Linked DNA regions of Macaca fascicularis. The main gene of each other region encodes a partner of the protein of the gene in region 2 in a complex. Links are inferred from orthologs where the notes say so. Each region holds a gene or a part of one and is shown on either strand. Other genes may lie near its edges. The genes, in order: PNOC and OPRL1.

Region 1 (10,280 bases), on a different chromosome or scaffold from region 2:
TTTTCCTCTTCTGGCTGATACCATTACACTTCAAATGTCTCTCCTCTGATCTAAATTTCCACCTGGAAAGAGGGGGACGGCATAGAGGAGGTGGAGGAAAGAACAATTGCCCAGCCCAGCACAGGTCAAGCATTCCCTAGGCTGGGGAGAAATGAATGAGCGAGAGCTGTGCTCAGAAACAAGAGTCCTGGCTTCTAGTCCGGCTCTGTCGTTACCTGTGGGATTTTAAGCAAGATCTTTTCTCTCTCTGGGCCTCAGCTTTTCCCTCTATAAGAAGAGGCAGTTAGATGAGATGGTTAATATTCTTTGATTTTATGAATGGCCAGATATTTGTACTTTCCAGGAAGTGAGAAGGGAGGGAAGAAGGGAAGAGGAAAAGGAGATGAAGGCTTCATGGGGAAGTAGCTTCCGGGCAGCATGGGAGGAAAGCCATAGAAAGGATGTGGAGGGGGCAAAAGACACATGTTCAGGGCTGCTGCAGGTGGGAAGATAGCCCTCAACTCCCATCCTCCTGGTTCTGGGCCACACTCCCACATATACTGGCAACATAATTTAAATAGATTTTGGAAAGCTTTTATTCACTTTTAGCTGGGTGTATTAGGATGCATCTGCAATCCCAGCAACTTAGAATGCTTGAGCCCAGGAGTTTGAGACCAGCTTGGGGAACATAGTGAGACCCCTATCTCTACAAAAAAAAGAAAAAAAAAAAAAGAAAAAAATTAGGTACGTGTGGTGGTGCAAATCTGTAGTCTTAGCTATTCAGGAGGCTAAGGCAGGAGGATAGCTTGAGCCCAGGAGGTTGAGTCTGAAGTGAGCTGTGATTGTGCCACTGTACTCCAGCCTGGGTGACAGAGTGAGACCCTGTCTGTAAACAACAGTAACAACAACAACAAAAGACCAGCCTGGGCAACACAGCAAGCCCTCCAACTCAAAAAGAAAGAAAGAAAGAAAAGCTTTTATTTACTTTTATGTAATAAAATCATTCAATGTTCTTTTCTAAAATATTGGAATATTGGAAAACACAGATAAACAGCAATGAATCTAGAACAACAATCTTCAAACTTCTTTTTTTTTTTTGAGATGGAGTCTCACTCTGTCGCCCAGGCTGGAATGCAGTGGTGCGATCTCGGCTCACTGCAACCTCCGCCTCCTGGGTTCACGTCATTCTCCTGCCTCGGCCTCCCGAGTAGCTGGGACTACAGGCACCCATCACCACGCCCGGCTAATTTTTTTGTATTTTTAGTAGAGACGGGGTTTCACCATGTTAGCCAGGATGGTCTCGATCTCCTGACCTGGTGATCTGCCCGCCTTGGCCTCCCAAAGTGCTGGGATTACAGGTGTGAGCCTCCGCGCCCAGTCAAACTTCTTTAAATTTGTACCCCTAGCAGTCGATTTTGAGTACACATTCCTAATTTATTTATAAGTTACATACTTTATAAAATCCACTAAAATGCAAATTAAGAAAGGTAAGATAAAAACAAAAGTCTCAATTTCCTGAAGCCCGTTGTGAGTTTGGAGGAAGCCAGAGCTCTGGCCGCCCTGTGCTCCTGGCACTTGCTCTGTGCGGCTCCTATCAGGAACTCCACACACCGTTCCTTGGCCAAATGAATGAAAGAATGAATGGAGATGGAGGGTGGGGGGAAGATTGCAGGCCAATGTGGAAAGAGGGGAGGTTGGATCTGAGCCATTGTGGGATGGCAGAGCTGGGTGCACGGTGAGGCATGCTATCTACTCCACCTGCTAGGCTGGGCCCGCGGGCTGATGATTTTGTGCTTCTGCAATGTTGAAGCAGCTGCCAGTATTTTGGGGAAAAAAAAAAAACCCACAGGATCATGGAAAATTGAGACTGAAACTAATTGTAGCCTATCCAGGGAGATGCCCAGAAAACTGGCTTGTCCCTGAAATTGATGTGCTCCAAATCTCACGACTAGTTTGTGATTAGATGGAAAGCTTTATGTTCGATTGTGGGATTTAAATAAAGGCATTTAGAAAATTCAGTTTGCTTCATGATAGCCCAGCAATTCAAGCCACTACCAGTCATTCATTGTCAGGACGGCTCCTGTTTTCTGAGAAGGGTCCGTCCCTTCCTAAGACATCTGAGGAGTAGCTCCACCCAGACCCGGAACGCAAGAGATTTCAAAGCTTCCTTCGTGGGCTTTGGGAGCTGTGGAGCTGGATGGGGAAATGAGGGATCGCTGAACCATGTCAGTGCAAGTAAAGAACGCTCACCTGAAACTTCCCATTCCTACCCGTGTGCATATGTGCGTGTGCGTATTAGCACAAAATAAACATGCAGACAAGCTTAGCTCACTGCCTGGTGCAGAGTGGGTTTCAAGAAATGTTAATTCCGTGGCCCTCCTTTTGTGTGTTTGACCTGGCTGCTGCCTCCCTCTTCAAAGCTCTTGACCCATCCAGATTCCACCTGCCTTCCCACTTGGTAGAATCCCAGGAATCCCAGGAGGAAGTGCTCCTTCTCCCAAATTCTTCTAGCACTTGCTCTCTGGATTATGCGATTTAGGACTGAATTACACCCAGCTTTGCATGGTCCTCTAATTGTTTCTCATGTTTGTGTCATGTCTCTCCTCTACCCCCGACCCCACTAGGAGTTCACAAGCACCCCTGACCATAACGGGGAGATGAACTGGAGCCAGAATGGCTTGGCTCAGTCCTGACCCTGCCATGTACTGAATAAATCATTTAATCTCTCAGGTTCAGTTTCCCCAACTGCAACACAGAGATAATGGCACCACCTCACAGGGCTGTTGCTGGGATAATAGTTGTGAAAGCGCCTAAATCGTTGTACAAATGTAAAGTGCTGTTATTATCACCTCCGCTGAATCTAGTAGAGCCCCTGCAAGCCTCCCTGCCTGGTGGAGTGTAGACGATAACTACCTGATTGATTGAATACAGAACAGCTTTGTGACAGCTCCTGTCATAGGCGCCAGGGAGCACAGGTTTGAGCCTAATCCTGCAATCACTCCCTTCATTGACAATGCAAACTCGCCAGCATTTTACAAATCCCTAAGTACTCTCAGCCTTCAGCGGATAAAGCAGGGGCTGCCGCCCTGTGGGCAACAAAACCGCGCCCTCAAAACAACCCGAGGCTGCACCACAGCACCCTTGACAGGCAGCACTGGTGGCACATGGAGATATAAAAGCTGCTGCTTTTACTGAGGTGAGGATGGTTGGGGATGGGTTTTCCAGGGACCCTCCTCTGCAGAAGACTCAGCAAGCCCAAAGGAGCACGAATCCTTTTTGTTAAAGGTAACACAGCCTCAGTGGAAGCTTATAGAATATTTCTCTGCCACACTTTACAAATGAGAAGAAAAGAGGGTGCAGGCTGTAGCCACCCACAAGCAGCGAAAAAGAGCAGTATTTGCTTTGGGAGGTTTTGATAAGAAGCCAGGCAGTTACTTTTCCCATCTATGTTGAAAACTCTGGTTTGGGCTTGCTGGCGAATGCCGTGCAAAGCTCATCTTTTGTTAGTCTGCCGAACAATGTTATTGGTTATAATTGGGGCAATTATGGGCTGCTTGAGGAAGCTAAACACAGATGTTTAAGCGCAGGAACAGGGTATTCAAGTCCAAAGCAGTTTGCTTTAAATAGTCCATTTCCCGAATCATCCTGCCTTACTTGAAATTCCCCCAGAACTTGCCCATGTTCAGAGCGAGATTGGGGGAGGAGGGGCTGGGTAGTGAAGCCTGGGGAAGCAAGACCGAGGGAGAGAGGCGCACAAAGAGAGGAGGAAGAAAGAAGGTGGCCGAGAGAGCCTCCAGAGTTGGGATGCGGTGACTATGAACGGAGTATTCTGTATGACCTGGGCAAAGACCTTTAGGTGGGGGAGATGGGCAGGGGGAGAGAGATGCCAAGCAAGAGAAGAGCCCTCTAAATGAATCAGGTTCTGGGAGACCAAGGTCACGCCCGTAGAAATGCCCTCTGGAATTCACACGCCGTGGCGCTCAGCAGTGTGTGTACACAGGTGAAGCACACTCCCCAGGTCTGGCGCTTCCCCATTATTTGTAGCAATTTCTGTTGGGGGCAGAAGGGAGAAGGGCTCCCTGTGGATTAAAAACTCCCATCTGGATGGCATGAAGTTCAGTGATAGGCGGAGAAGCAGCCTGCACACCGCATCGGAGAGGAAAGGAAGCCACGGAGAGAAAACCCTCATGAGGGGGCCAGGGGCTTCCTGGAGGCCGCCCCGTGGAAGGCAAACCCCCTCCCAAGTGCCTGCCCCTCCCCTGACCTCACTCCTCCAGCAGCCTCCTTTCGACACAGAGCAACAACCACGTAGGGGCCACAGCTGGGGAAGCAAAACTTTTCCTCATTTCCAAGTTCCCCTCTTTCTGTTTCTGCATCTGTCTGCGGTTAAGAAAGAGCCTTAGCCCTCCCCCGTTCCCCACCATCCAAGCGCTGCAAAGGAGATGAATGAAGAAACCATCTCGCAAGAGGCCAGCAGCATCCACACTGGACAAAGGAGAGAGGCCGAGGAGCCAGACCCCGGTGGCCCTGCCCTCCCGGAGCTCCACGCAGTTAGTCCAGTTAGTCGCGGTCGGGCTGGGGGCCCCGTGCAGTTGCCTACCTGAGAGCTGTCAGTCCCCGGCTCCCTCCGATGGATGTGAGGCTCGGTTCCGCTGTCTCAGCCACACCAGCATATATATCCTCTCCCCCACGCACAGCCCTCCCCTTCCCTGCCCACCTCCATGACACATACACACACTGACCCCCTTCAGCAACCAAAGAGCAGAACCTGCAAGCCTTCTGGCTGCTCCCTTTCCCCGGCTCTGCCATCAGACCTGTGACATCCCCACTTCCCCATCAATCCATTCTCAAGCCTGCTTCACCTGGACTCTGTTCAGCCAGGATCCCACAGCTGCCTTCCCTGTGCTTCCAGAGGCTCTGCGAGGACTGACGGGGAGCTCTGGCAAGTCAGAAAGAAAGCCTCCTGGTGACAGTGACGAGGCAGACCCCAAATCCTGGACTCTCCTTGAGCAACCTTTTTGCCTGAGGAGTGAAGAATAGGAGGCAGGCAGAAGGCAGGGGAGCTCACGCCAGGCTCCCACCGGCACGGAGGAGCCCAGGGCTGAGCTAAGCCAAGCCCCCACCTAATGTCACTGCCCCTAACTAGGCCACTCAAGGGGTGGCTCTACCTGCCCTGGGCCAGGTCAGGAGGCATTTCCACAGGTGCCCACAGCATGGTGCGATGGAGAGCGCTGAGACTCAAGGCTCAGATGGAAGTGTCTGAAATTCGGCTGTACAGTCAGAGCAAGGCACATCTCTTTGTGAACCTCAAGTCCTCCTTCTGGAAAACGAGTCTAACACTGCCCAGGATGGTTGTGAGTAGAAAAAGGAGATTCTGTTTGAATCTGCAACACACGAGGCCCTTAATGAATGTGCTGCATCCTCCCTCTCCTCTCAGCCCCCTTTTCACGCTAATTAGTACCACCTGGATCTAGAAATCCCATATCAGTGTCTGGTGTCACAACAGAGAGCTTTTAAAGCTTCTGCACCTTAGGGTGCCACTACCGAGTGCCCTGGAGGATCAGAAGCTCTGGAAGCTTCCCTGTCCCTTACTGCAGAGCCTCCTTGTCTTCTGCAGCCGCTGGAGGTTGTGGGCTGCAGGAAGGGAGCTCACAGGCTGAAGGCACAGGCTCAAGGGTTTAGCATCCTTGGGGACCCCACCTTTCCTTACCGTAGGTGAATTGCACCATGACCCTGTCCTTAGTTTTCCGAAGAGGGTCTAAAATATTCCAGAATCCCAGGGTTTGAACCTGTGTCATCCAAGGAGCTCAAGCACTCTCATATGGTGAGTCCAGCTCTCTTGTCTACCCACGACTGGGTGGAGAAGGATTGAGGGAAGCATCTGCCCTGACTGTGAATGGTATAGGGTTTCTTTTTGGGGTAATGGTAATGTTCTGGAATTAGATTGTGGTGATGGTTGCACAACATAGCAAGAATACTAAAACCCACCAAATTATATGCTTTAAAATGGTGCATTTTATGTTCTGGGAATTACATCTCAATAAAAAGAAAATAGGTAGAAAGACAGCAAACATCTGCTCAGGTTAAGAGCAACAGGTTCTGAGAATAAAATGTCCCTTCCATCTGTGTTCACAGCAAAAGGGCTCAGGAGACCAGCATACTCACAATTCTTCACTTAGATCTCTTTTGCCCAAACCTTACACTGCAGGTCACAGCTAACATTATGGACCCTTTGGGAAACTAGCATGTTCACTGAATGACACGGGGTCACTTTTGCATCCTGATGTACTTCAGGGTCTCAGACCTGGATCCTGATTTCATACATGATGTGGCAGATATTGGTGGCTGCCTACTCAATCCCCATTCCCCTGTTCTTCCTTACTAAACGGTACCCTTGATTTTAATCTAGGCATCAATGCCCTGAGCTAAAAGACTACATTTCCCATTGGTCAAGGGTTGCCAATGAGCATTAAGCTGCAGGTCCGTGGGTGGGGCTTCCAGGAAAGCTCTTTTAAAGGGGGTCAACTCGCTAAAGGCCTCTCTCTCTTCTTTGCCCTCCCTCCATCCTGCCTGGGACACAAATGTGATGGCTGGAGCTCTAGCAGCTATCTTGGATTACGAGATGAGACAACTTTGAGGATGGAAGCAATGAGTAAATATGATGGAACATAAAGATGGAAGGATTTTGGGTCCCTCATGACTAATGGAGTGGCCATATCAATGTTGGACTTCCAAACTTTAACCTTTTTTTTAAAAGAAAACCCAAACCTTTATTTCAAATGTCAGTCAGGATTCAGTTACCTGTTGCTGCATAACAAGCCACATCAAGGCCAGAGGCTTAAAACAACAGACCACATATTTGACTCATGATTCTACAGATTGGGAATTCTGGCTAGGCTCAGCAGGGCAGTTCTTCTGGTCTCAGCCTGACTCTCTTCTGCACCTGCAGTTGGACTCAGAAGGTTGGCTGGGTGTCAGCTAGGGACCTTGGTTCTCTTGCACGTGTCTTATCCTTCATGGGTCTCTCACATCCCTTCAGCATATTAGCCTGGCATGGCCTCATGGCAAACCTGAGGTGAAAGCACAAGCAAATACAATCAAGCAAGGGAACAATCACAAGCACATGGAACCTCTGGAGACCTAAGCATGGAGTTGGCAGTCCATTGCTTTTGCTACATTTATTGGCTAAGGCCAGTTGCAAGGCTGTCCAGAGCCAGGCTGGGTGGAGACTATGAAGTCCCAGGATAATAGAGGGTGGCTATGCAGAAGCCATTCATTGGAGGCATTGGAAACGTTAACTTCCTAAGATTTAAGCCATTTAGTTGGGTTTTCTATTACATCCAGTGGAAAATTACCTTAAACAACACACCTGCCTTTGAGCACCTTGTCATTCCCAGGATGTTCAGGCAGCTAAATGCTTTTCTTCCCTTGCAGTTGAGGAAGAGAAAGAGCAAGAGTGAAAAGTCACTTAGCTTCTCTGGACTTTTCTTTCCTCATTTACCAGATAGAAGAGTTGAACCCAATGACCTGGATATTCTTGGTGGATTGAATGAAGCTGCATGTGGTGGCAGGCTGTCTCCTGTGATCGATGGAGAAGGGCAGGATGAACCCAGGAGGGAGTTTAAAACCAGTGTTGGGTGGGGGAGTAGAAGAACCTTGCCCCTCAGAAAAGCACAAGTAGACTAGAAAGGGTTCAGACTGTGTGGCATTTGTGATGGCTTCAGGGCCTCCCCCTTGCCACTGAGACATGGCACCTTGAGAGCCATGGGCTTCTCCAGCTGCCCCCTGCTTTTCTGATTGGCAGGATACATTTATTAAAATAGTTGGAAAGGAAAGGTCACATGTTCTTATTTCTACTGCTTTGTGTGTATGTGTGTGTGTGTGTGTGCGTGCAAGAACTTGGAATTAATAAAATTCTTGGCTGGGCATGGTGGTTCATGCCTGTAATCCCAGCACTTTAGGAGGGCAAGGTGGGAGAATGGAGTTCAAGACCAGTCTGGGTAACACAGCAAGACCCTGTCTCTATAAAATATGAAAAACTAGCCAGGTGTGGTGGTAAGCACCTGTAGTTTCAGCTACTTGGGAGGCTGAGAAGGGAGGATCACTTGAGCCTGGGAAGTTGAGGCTGCAGTGAGGCATGATTGAGCCACTGCACTCCAGCCTGGGTAACAGAGTAAGACCCTGTCTCATTAAAATAAAATAAAATAAAATTCTTATTTCTTCTGCTTATGAGGTGGTGGAAGTTCACTCCTGCCCACACCAGCTTGGCATCTTTGCAATAGAGGCCCAACCAGGGAGGCTACAAATATTAGAATCCACTCTGTACTGACAGGTAAGTTTTGAGGTAGATTGAGAAAACCTTTTTTTTTTTTTTTTTTTTGAGACGGAGTCTCACTCGGGCTGGAGTGCAGTAGCCGAATTTCAGCTCACTGCAAGCTCCGCCTCCCGGGTTTACGCCATTCTCCTGCCTCAGCCTCCCGAGTAGCTGGGACTACAGGCACCCGCCACCTCACCCGGCTAGTTTTTTTTTTGTTTTTTTTTTTGTATTTTTTAGTAGAGACGGGGTTTCACCGTGTTAGCCAGGATGGTCTCGATCTCCTGACCTCGTGATCTGCCCGTCTCGGCCTCCCGAGAAAACTCTTAAAATTGTCATCAGAATATCTCAGTAGAGGAAGTACAGGGGAAGGAGGCAGCCGCAGCTGGGCCCAATGTTGAGCTCAACACACCTCCACCCACCTGCCAATTTTCCCCTCTCAGAGTAAAGAGCCTTTCCCGGCCAGGTATTTGACTGCTTGGAATTTACTGATTAATTATGGCGCCTACCTCCAATTGGTCTCCTTAGTAACCACGTTAGCAGGGTCCCACTGGAAAAGCTGCTTCTTACTCAGTGAGGGCAAACTCTCTTCACATTTTAAAACACTTTTAAGTCAGAACACAATGAATGTTAAAAATAGAGGGACACACACATTTCTTCACAACTTTGCATCAAAATACGGATGGACTTTTGAACTACTGAGGGCAAGTTGCATTTTAGTAATCAGTAAGAGCTAGGTTTAAAGGAAGAGTTGGGTGAATACAGTTTCAATGCAAATAGCCAATGTGAGAACGAAAGATATCTTCACCCTCAAGAAGCCGGCCCAGGGGACAAGTTAGATCGATGAATGGTGACCAGCACAACAGCATTTGCTATAGTGACTCAGACTATTCAAGAATTAGGGGGTACATGATAAGGTGCTAATTGTGGATCAGACTGGAAGTGAAAGAGAAGTTCAAGAGAGGAGAGTGATGTTCAAGTGATGTTTATCTTATTTTTTGAATGATGTGTTAAGATACTGAGGACAAATTGCACGTTCTGTGTGGGCAGGGAAGTGGCCACTGGGCTTTAGTACAGGCAAGTAGAAGGATTAGCGGGTGTATTAGTCTGCTTGGGCTGTCATAACCCAGTGCCACAGATTGGGGGGCTTCAACAACAGAAGGGAATTTCCTCACATTTCTGGAGGCTGGGAATCTGAAATCAAGGTGTCAGCAAGGTTAATTTCTTCTGCGGCCTCGCTTCTTGGCTTGGAGATGGACGTCTTCTCCCTGTGTCCTCACGTGGCCGCCCCTCTGTGTGTATCTGTGTCTTCATCTCCTCTTCTTTTAGGAACACCAGGCCTATTGGATTAGGGCCCACCCTAATGGCTTCCTTTACCCTAAATCACCTCTTTAAAGGCCCTACCTCCAAATGCAGTCACCCTCTGAGGGGCTGGGATTAAGACTTCAGCATAGGAATCTGGGGGAGGGGTGTACAGTTCAGCCCATAACAGGGGGATAATGAAACTCTGCTCATCACATAATGGAGATACAATCCCAGAAAGGGAACTAAAGGTCACCGCAGGACATGAGTGAATAATGTGCACAGGGCATCCTTTCCACCCTCAGCCCTGAACCCAGGAGCTGGAATCCCTGGACACTAAGCTGACAATGTGCCCATCATTGCCATGTCACAGTGTCCTGGGAACATCCCATGCAGGTCCCATGGCTACATCTTCAGAGCCCCATCAATATGGCTAGAAGCTCTGTCCTGAAACTTGAATGTTAAGATCATAGAAACCTAAAAAATGCCATGCTCAGAATAAGAAGGCATCCAGGCGTCCAGGTGTCCAGGTGTCCCGGCATCCAGGCACTTCAGAAGCCTGATCACAGTCCCCGAAAAGCTTTGTAGGATAGTGCAGTTGATTTGAGTGCTGTGGAGGGGGTCTGATACTCTTTTGTTTAATAATTTTTCAGAAATAGGTGTATGTTCCATGTTGGAGAGCCAA
Region 2 (8,839 bases):
CCTCCCACTCACGTGCCAATCCCAGAAAAGTCACCCCAAAGGCAAATCCCCAGGTGGCAGGAGCCAGAAACACCTGTCATGAAGATACCCAGCCAGTGAGCAGGTGTTTATTAGGGTCCTTTTTCATTACCCCAGAGACAGACCCAGGGCTGGCTGCGTGCACAGGAAGTAACGATTGCCACATGCATAAATACGTGAAGATGCACATTACGTCAGCACAGAGTCACAAAACACTTAGCCTTGGCAAGAAAACACTGTAGCTAGGCAGCTCCCGCTCTCAGAGACTCCTGCCACAGATGTCACGGAGACAGCAGGGGCCTCCCCAGGGACAGTCCCCACGGCCTAGACTCCCCAGAGCTGGAGGAGCAGCCCAGGCTCTGTGGTGAGACGGCCATCACTTCCTGTTCTTGGCAGGAGCCTAAGGTTACCTGGCCAAGGTCTTGATGGAAAAATGAGTTTTTACAATGTTGCAGGTCTTTTAATAGTTCGTCTGTAGGAAGTGCATTTGCAAAGTCACCAACCTGCAGCTGCCATCTGTAGACCAGGAAGGGTGATTCTCTGGTTGACCACAGCAGGGCATCCCCTGAGGTACAGAGACCCCCTCCCACCCCCACAGTGTTCTCACAGCCGGTACAGCGCTTGCAGTTTGGCTCAAGCAAGCCCTGGCAAGCCCCACCCCCATGCTGGCTCTGCTGTGAAGCCATCCTCTCGCTGGGCGGCAAGTTCAGGCCCTACGCAGAGCCATCTTGAGGCTTGTAAATGAAGCAGGCGTCACCAGAGCAGGACTCCGCTGTGGCCACCGGCTTCTCCTTCCGCACAGCTTCCCCCGCAACACAGCTCCCCCAAAACACTGCACGGCCACTGACCTCCGGCTTCAAGCAAAGGAGAGGCTGTGAGGGGAGCCCTGGGAGGATGTGGAGACCCCCCGGGAGGATGTGGAGACCCCCAGAGGATCCTCTCCCACCCTGCTACAAACAGCAGTCGAGACCAGGAAAACGAGGCCTCGACTTTGTGAACAACAGGCTGCCCATGTGGTCACACGGCGTCTTCCTCCTGGGACACCTGCCACACACCGAGAAGCAGAGCTCGGTTGACGGTCCACAGCATGACAGTTCATTGCACTGCTGGAGGGAATGGGCCGGGGCCTCCTGTGGGTCTCCTGAAGGGAAAGGGGGGTTGGACCCAGAGCCAAGCTCAGTCAGGGATGAGGCCTGCACAGCACAGCACACAGGAAACCTTCAGAGGTGCGGCTGGCCCAGGACCAGCTCGGGGTCTGCAGCCAGGGACAGCCAGCCCACCTGGACACTCTCCTGGGGTGGCCCTGGCTGCACAGGTGGAGTCAGAACGGGCGAGTCCTCCTGGTGGCGGCTCCAAGCTCAGGGCAAGTCCCACCCCAAAGAAATGCTGCCTGTTGGACTTCCCGGGCAGCGCCAAGTCTGTCCCGCTGCCCTGAGGAGACGTCCCAGGGCTGAAGGCAGCTGGAGCCCTGCCATGCAAACAGCACACAGCACGTAGGGTGCACAGGACGACACAGCCGCTGCTCCTCCTCCGGGTGCGCCCACCCAGGGTTCTGCCAACACAGCAGCAGAGAGGCCAAGAGTCACGTGAAGCACGGGCAGGGAGGGGCACGGGCTCCAGTCGCGGCCGTCCAGCAGCACGGCAGCTGCTTCCAGGTAGGTCTTTGTGTCACCTCAGCCATGCACCAGGCGGGCAGCTTTAGTCTGTCTGGGGCCACGGAGGTAGCCCTAACGCTCTGACCTGTCCCATGATGTCACTAGGTCCTCCTCTGGGACCAAGTGTCCCTGGCCCACAGGGAAAAGCCCATCCAAGGCTCTGGATGCTCAGGGCTCAGGGTGTGTCAGCCTAGAGAGCAGTGACTTGTGTGAGCTCCGTGTTGGGCGTAGATGGGCTCTGTGGGCTGACGGGCACCATAGGCAGGTCCACGCCTAGTCACGCGGGCCGCGGTACCGTCTCAGAGGTCTTGCAGGCCAGGGCCACATCTTTGGCAATGCTGCGCACACGGTCGGACACCTGCACCTCCCGGCGCAGGGCAGAGGCACAGCAGAACTTGCGGAAGCAGGCCTTGAAGTTCTCATCCAGGAAGGCATAGAGGATGGGGTTGAGGCAGCTGTTGACGTAGCCCAGGGCCGTGCAGAAACGCAGAATGGCCACGGCAGTCTCGCTGCCTGGCTGCACTCCCAGCCCTTGGACCAGCACAAAGACCTGGACAGGCGTCCAGCAGCCCACGAACACAGCCACCACCACCAGCACCAGCCGAGTGATGCGCCGCAGGTTCCGGTCCTTCTCCCGGGAGCCCGAGAGCAGGCGGACTCCGCGGAGCCTCCGGATCATGAGGCTGTAGCAGACGGAGATGATGAGCACGGGGACGATGAAGGAGAAGAGGAAGATGCAGACGGCAAACACAGGGCCCCAGTAGTCCTGTGGGGCAGGGATCTCCACCAGGCACTCGATCTCTGCAGGGAGAGAAGTGGGGTCAGAGTGGGCCCAGAGGAGCCACCCAGGAGCCGTGGAGAGCCTGGTGAGGGGAGGAGGGGACACCCCACTGACCTTCATCCTCGACCTGTGCCGAGCCCATGATGGCAACAGGAACACCAACAACAGAGGCCAGGGCCCAGATGGCCACATTGACAGCCTGGGCTTTGCTGGATGTGCGGACGTCGAGGGCGCGGATGGGGTGGCAGATGGCTACGTAGCGATCCACACTCATGGCAGTCAGGGTGAAGGTGCTGGTGAACATGTTGTAGTAGTCAATGGCAATGACTGTCTTGCACAGGGCATTCCCAAACGGCCAGAAGCCCAGGAGGATATCTGTGCCCTGGAAGGGCAGCGTCAGCAGGACCAGAGTGTCTGCCAGGGCCAGGTTAAAGATGTAAATATTGGTGGCTGTCTTCATTTTGGTGTGCCTGCAGAGTAGAGGAAGAAGAAAGGCTTCACTTGGCTATGCCGGCTGGACCGGGCAGCAAAGGGCAAGGGGCTCGTCTTGGCCACTGCAAGCTACACTGGCCCTGAGTCCCTTAACATCAGAGTTCCCATGGGGGCTTGGTAAGTGACAGCTCCTGGACCCAACCTGAGACTCACTGAGTCAGTCTCAGGGGATGGAACCTGGCATGAGACATCTTCACCAGCTCTTCAAGTGACTCTGACACACACCAAAGGATTCCAAGCCTTAAACACGAGTCTACTTTACAGGGGTCAGGGCATGTAGGGTACGAGAACTCACCCCAGACTCCACGGGAGCGAAGGGTTAGAGCCCTAAGGGAAAAAGCCTGCTCTCCTTGCTTTTGAGTCCCCTCAGAGACCCTTCACAGACTCAAATGCTGACCCTACAGTTGCCAGAGGTTTCTGAGAGCTCCGGAATCTATAAGAACATACCAAAAGGCTTCCAAGTCCACACTGCTATCTAGCAACGGAGACAGAAAATGGTGACATGGACAGGAGGGATGCTAATAAGGTATGATTGTATCCAAGCACCTGAAAAGGTGCTGGAAAGGGCTGGGAAAGTTGTTGGTGGTTAATAAATTTTTGTTAAATCAGTTAATGGTTGTAATATTTGGGGGGGGATTATGGTGGTGGTGGTGGTGATGATGGTAGTGATCATGGTGGTGACGGTGATGATGATGGTGATGGTGATGATGGTGGTGGTGATAGAGAGGATGGTGATGATGGTGATGATGATGAACGTGATGGTGGTGATAGTGGTGATGGTGATGATGATGGTGATGACGATGAACGTGATGGTGGTGGTGGTGGTGATGGTGATGATGATGGTGATGACGATGAACGTGATGGTGGTGGTGGTAGTGATGGTGATGGTGATGATGGTGATGACGGTGGTGGTGATAGAGAGGATGGTGATGATGATGAATGTAATGGTGGTGATAGTGGTGATGGTGATGATGGTGATGATGGTGATGATGATGAACGTGATGGTGGTGATAGTGGTGATGGTGATGATGATGGTGATGATGGTGATGATGGTGATGATTATGAACGTAATGGTGGTGGTGGTGGTGATGGTGATGATGGTGATGATGGTGATGATGATGACAATGAACGTGATGGTGGTGGTGGAGGTGGTGGTGGTGGTGGTGATGATGATGGTGATGATGGTGATGATGATGACAATGAACGTGATGGTGGTGGTGGTGGTGATGGTGATGATGGTGTCACGTGATGGTGATGACTGTGATGATGGTGGTGGCGGCGGTATTGGCAGTGGCAGCAGCGCCCGAGATGACACTATTCTATGTCAGTTTAGCTGCCTCGAGGAAATATGGGGCTCAGTTCTGCCTCTTAGAGAGGGATTATGAATAAGCACAAAGAGGCCGCAATTACAAAGAGAAAACAACAATGACAATGATTATGGCAAATACCTGTGCCAAGCTCTTCGGGGGAATTTATGTCATTGAAGATTTACAAAAATGCTACTTTGATCCCCACTCTATAGAGGAAGAAACTGAGGCCTACAGGATCTATGTTGTTTTTTTAAGGCCTTAGAGCTGGTAAAAAGCAGGGCAGGGCTCAGAACAGAGTGTTTCTGACTCCTGGGATGGTCACCCCAGCCCACTGGCTCACAACATGCTGCCTCTTGGGCCAGTGTGGCCACAGCAGCCCCTGAGCATCGCTCTCTCTGGGGACTCTGCCCAGCAACATGACCTTCCCTGCCTGCTCTAATCCAAGAAGTGCCTCTGAGAGGTTGAACACCTCAGTGTAGAGGAGAAAGACAGTAGAGAAGCGGTAACAGCCGGAAAGGTGCTCAAGCACAGGGACTGCCCCAGGCCGCCGCACTCCTCAGCCGTGACGCGCCAGCCAGCCACGAAGGGACATGCACATCACGGAGCAACCTCCGTGGAGCCTCCCTTAGGAGTCAGCTCTGGGGAGGGGCAGCTGTTCTTCCCACTCTCTCGTCTGACCACGCATCACCTGCACACATGCGCACACACACACGCGCACACACACGCACGCACGCACGCGCACACGCACGCGCACACACACGCACGCACGCGCACACGCACGCACGTGCACCCACACACACGCGCGCACACACACGCACACACGCACGCGCACACACGCGCGCGCACGCACGCGTACACCCACACACACGCACGCGCACACGCACACACACACGCACACCCACACACACGCACGCACACACGCACACACACGCGCACACACACGCACACACACGCGCACACACACGCACACACATATACACGTGGTTACATGGTCCACCTTGCTCACTTTCCAGATGGGAAAAACAAGGCCCAGAGGGGAACAGCTTTTCTCAGGGACACTAAGAGGACAGGGCTGGGATGGTGGCAGCTTAAACACCCCCACTACCCTGTCCTGCCTCTACCTACATAACACCTCTGGTTGGGACCCTTTGAGGTTATAAGGAGGGAACACTTGCTTTAGAGCCCTGGACACTGTCTTCAGAACTGCCTTTTTCTGGGTCCAGGCAAATATCCTGGACCAATAAGAAACCTCATTCCAGCTGTCAGGAACCTCATTTAGCTTCCTGCTAAAGCACCACCCATAACCCCCCACTGCCTGAAGAACAGAGTTCCCCCACCCGGGCCTTCAGGATCCCACCTGCTGTCCCCAGGCCCTTCAGTTCTCTCTCCTCTGGATGGATTTGGGGTCCGTCATTTCCTCTGCCCAGAAAACCCTCCCTTTCTGCTTAAGTCACCTCCATCTTCTACCTGCCCAATCCACAATCCATGTGAAGGTTTCCTTGTTCACCCCCACACTGATCCCATGCTGTGCCCATGCTGTCCCCAATGCTATCCCCCTGCTATCCCCCCACTATCCCCCTCACTACCCCCCCACACTATCCGCCTCATGCTATTCCCCCACTATCCCCCTCACTACCCCCCCACACTATCCGCCTCATGCTATCCCCCCACTATCCCCCTCACTACCCCCTCACACTATCCGCCTTATGCTATCCCCCCACTATCCCCCTCACTACTCCCCCACACTATCCGCCTCATGCTATCCCCCCACTATCCCCCTCACTACCCCCCCACACTATCCGCCTCATGCTATTCCCCCACTATCCCCCTCACTACTCCCCCACACTATCCGCCTCATGCTATCCCCCCACTATCCCCCTCATTACCCCCTCACACTATCTGCCTTATGCTATCCCCCCATTATCCCCAAGCTCCCCCCCACTGTCCCCCACACTATCCCGCCATGCTATCCCCCTGTTATCTCCCTGGCTGCTCCCTGCTGTCCCCCACAGTATCCCCCACACTATCCCCCTGGCTGCTCTCCACTATCCCCCTGCACTGCCCCCCACACTGCTCCCCACACTGCCCCCCCACTGCCCCCCACACTGCCCTCGCACTGCCCCCCTACTGCCCCACACACTGCCCCCCGCACTGTCCCCCGCACTGCCCCCCGCACTGTCCCCCCACTGCCCCCCACTGCCCCCGCACTGCCCCCCACTGCCCCCGCACTGCCCCCCACTGCCCCACACACTGCCCCCCGCACTGCCCCCCGCACGGTCCCCCACACTGCTCCACACGCTGCTCCCCACACTGTCCCCCCACTGCCCCCCACTGCCCCCGCACTGCCCCCCACTGCCCCCGCACTGCCCCCCACTGCCCCACACACTGCCCCCCGCACTGCCCCCCGCACTGTCCCCCACTGCCCCCCACCTGCCCCCACACTATCCCCTTGGCTGCCCTCCATTATCCCCCTGCACTGCTTCCCACACTGTCCCCGCACTGCTCCCTCAACCGCAACTATCAGCTGCCCTCTCTTTGGCCCCCACAAGTTTTCCCATCTCAGAGCACCAACAGATGATGGGCTCAGCCACACACACCTGCCATAAGCAGGAGCCCTGGAACCTGAGAAGGGGTTTCAGGACTGTCCCAGCACCAGCCCCTGCGCCTCCCTTCACCCATCTGGGGAATGGGCTGAAAAGAGCCTCTCACAGGGCCGCTGTGGGGTCTCATAAGGTCATTGAAGCAGACAGCTTGATACAGAGCCTGGTCCACAGCTCAAACCAGGGGTCAGGGTGGTGACGCCTCTACCTGGGACAGAATGGGGTGGGCCAGGGCCAGCCCCTCCCCTCCCCTCCCCTCCCTGGGGCCTCAGGATTGACCCTGCCTCCTGGACAGGGTCCAACAAATTGAATGGGGGAAGCAGGAAATCAACACCTGCTCAGGCCCGTCCAGAACAGCCTCCGCCTCAGCTTCCCCCTCTGCAGCTGTGTGGGACTCAGCAGACAGGAACCTCGTGGCCCAGCCTACCTGAGGATGACGTACATGACGAGGCAGTTCCCCAGGAGCCCCCCGACACACACGGCCAGGTAGAGCCCCACGATGGTGACCTTGAGCCCGAGGGGCAGGAAGGCGCTGTGACTGGCATTGAGCAGCAGATGCGGAGGCAGCAGACTGTGGTTGGGACTGAGGAGGGACAGGTTGCCCTGAAGGTGGCTGCCGTAGATAACCTCCCAGAATGGGGCGGGGAAGAGAGGCTCCATGCCACTGCCCTGCAAATCCACTCAGTGCAGCACCTGGGACAGAGCACAGACAAGTGGCTGCAGTGCCAGACACACGCCCAGCCGAGGCCTCACAACCCAGCACGTGCAGCCCAGCAGGCACGTGGACCCCCACACTGGGCAGGCACAGGCACGGAGGTACACGGGCACACAGAACACACAGGCACACATGCACAGGCAGGGGCACATGGAGACACGAGGACACAAAGACACACATGCACCCGCAAGGACACAGTCTCGTTCGGTTTAGAGACTCACATACAGGCTGCCTGGAGGCAGTTACACCCCAGGACACTGTCCACCCGCAGGGACTCATGAACACACAGCCACTCGTTGTGTTCACAGGCACAGGGATGCAGGGACACACGTCACACACACAGACACACAGAAATGTCCAAACCTGCCCTCATGCACACGCAGGCACAAAAGAGACAGACACACCCAGAAACGCCTGGGACCCAGCCTTCCTCCTGGGAGCACAGCTTCCTCCTGCTCCCCCGCCCTGCTTTGCTGCAGTCTGTCAGCAGGACCCCCACCGGACCTCCAGCTCCCACCCGACCTCCAGCGGCTCAGGTCCTTACCTCTGCAACCTCCTTGGGAGCTGGGACCACCGTGGAGACCCCCACCCTCAGCCAGCCGGCAGTCTGGCACAGGTGCAGAGCAGGGTAGAAGAGGCCCAGCCGCCACTCGCCTCAGTACAGGATCTTCTCAGCAGACGCCAGACCAGACGCAGCAGCAGAGTGAGCCCGGCAGCCTGAAGCAGAGGGGAGGAGGAGGAGGAGGAGGAGGAGGCTGCAGCTCCAGAGGGGGAGGGGCTACGCAGGCTGGAGGAGTGGGGGCTACGGAAAGGTGGGTCACCGTGCCCCGGGCTGCGCCGGCCCCACACTGAAGGGGACAGACACACAGACAGAGATGAACAAGGAGGCTCGGACCCACAGACCCCAGACAGAGACGCACACACAGCCCAGGATACATGGACAGAGATGCCCACGGGTTCACAGACACAGGACAGAGAGACACACACAAGGACACACAGACTCACACCCAGGGACGGAGTCTCAGGGAGACACACACGGAGACATGTTCACAGACTCGGACACACAGACACGGGGCCACGACTCACACAGAGACACAGCCTTGCACAGACTGGCCCGGACCCCGCAGTTGGGCTCCCAGCACCCCAAAATGCCCCCACCTGGCCAGCTCTTGGCAGATCAAAGCTTCATTGTAAACACGCAGGCAAGATGCTTGGGTCCAGGACACGGTACTGGCCCGGCACCTACTGTGTGCTCCTGGAGCTCAGTC

The links.
Region 1: the proteins of OPRL1 (region 2) and PNOC are in contact, whole or in part, in a cryo-EM structure (PDB 8F7X), measured with the Homo sapiens proteins. The link is inferred for Macaca fascicularis from reciprocal best matches to the Homo sapiens genes OPRL1 and PNOC. Residues at the interface, in NP_000904.1 of Homo sapiens: Gln107, Asp110, Gly114, Phe115, Trp116, Val126, Ile127, Asp130, Tyr131, Met134, Gln192, Glu194, Ile198, Glu199, Cys200, Leu201, Val202, Ile219, Val279, Gln280, Val283, Gln286, Gln291, Pro292, Ser293, Val298, Leu301, Arg302, Thr305, Tyr309; in NP_006219.1 of Homo sapiens: Phe130, Gly131, Gly132, Phe133, Thr134, Gly135, Ala136, Arg137, Lys138, Ser139, Ala140, Arg141, Lys142, Leu143.

The regions. Positions count from the first base shown.
Region 1 is NC_088382.1:31,487,825-31,498,104, reverse strand, and holds the start of PNOC (prepronociceptin), read right to left. Parts: upstream 4,911-10,280; 5' UTR 4,842-4,910; intron 4,631-4,841; exon of another isoform or gene 4,580-4,630; intron 1-4,579.
Region 2 is NC_088384.1:120,231,502-120,240,340, reverse strand, and holds OPRL1 (nociceptin receptor), read right to left. Parts: upstream 8,277-8,839; 5' UTR 8,116-8,276; intron 7,550-8,115; 5' UTR 7,517-7,549; coding exon 7,284-7,516; intron 2,925-7,283; coding exon 2,569-2,924; intron 2,475-2,568; coding exon 1,951-2,474; 3' UTR 92-1,950; downstream 1-91.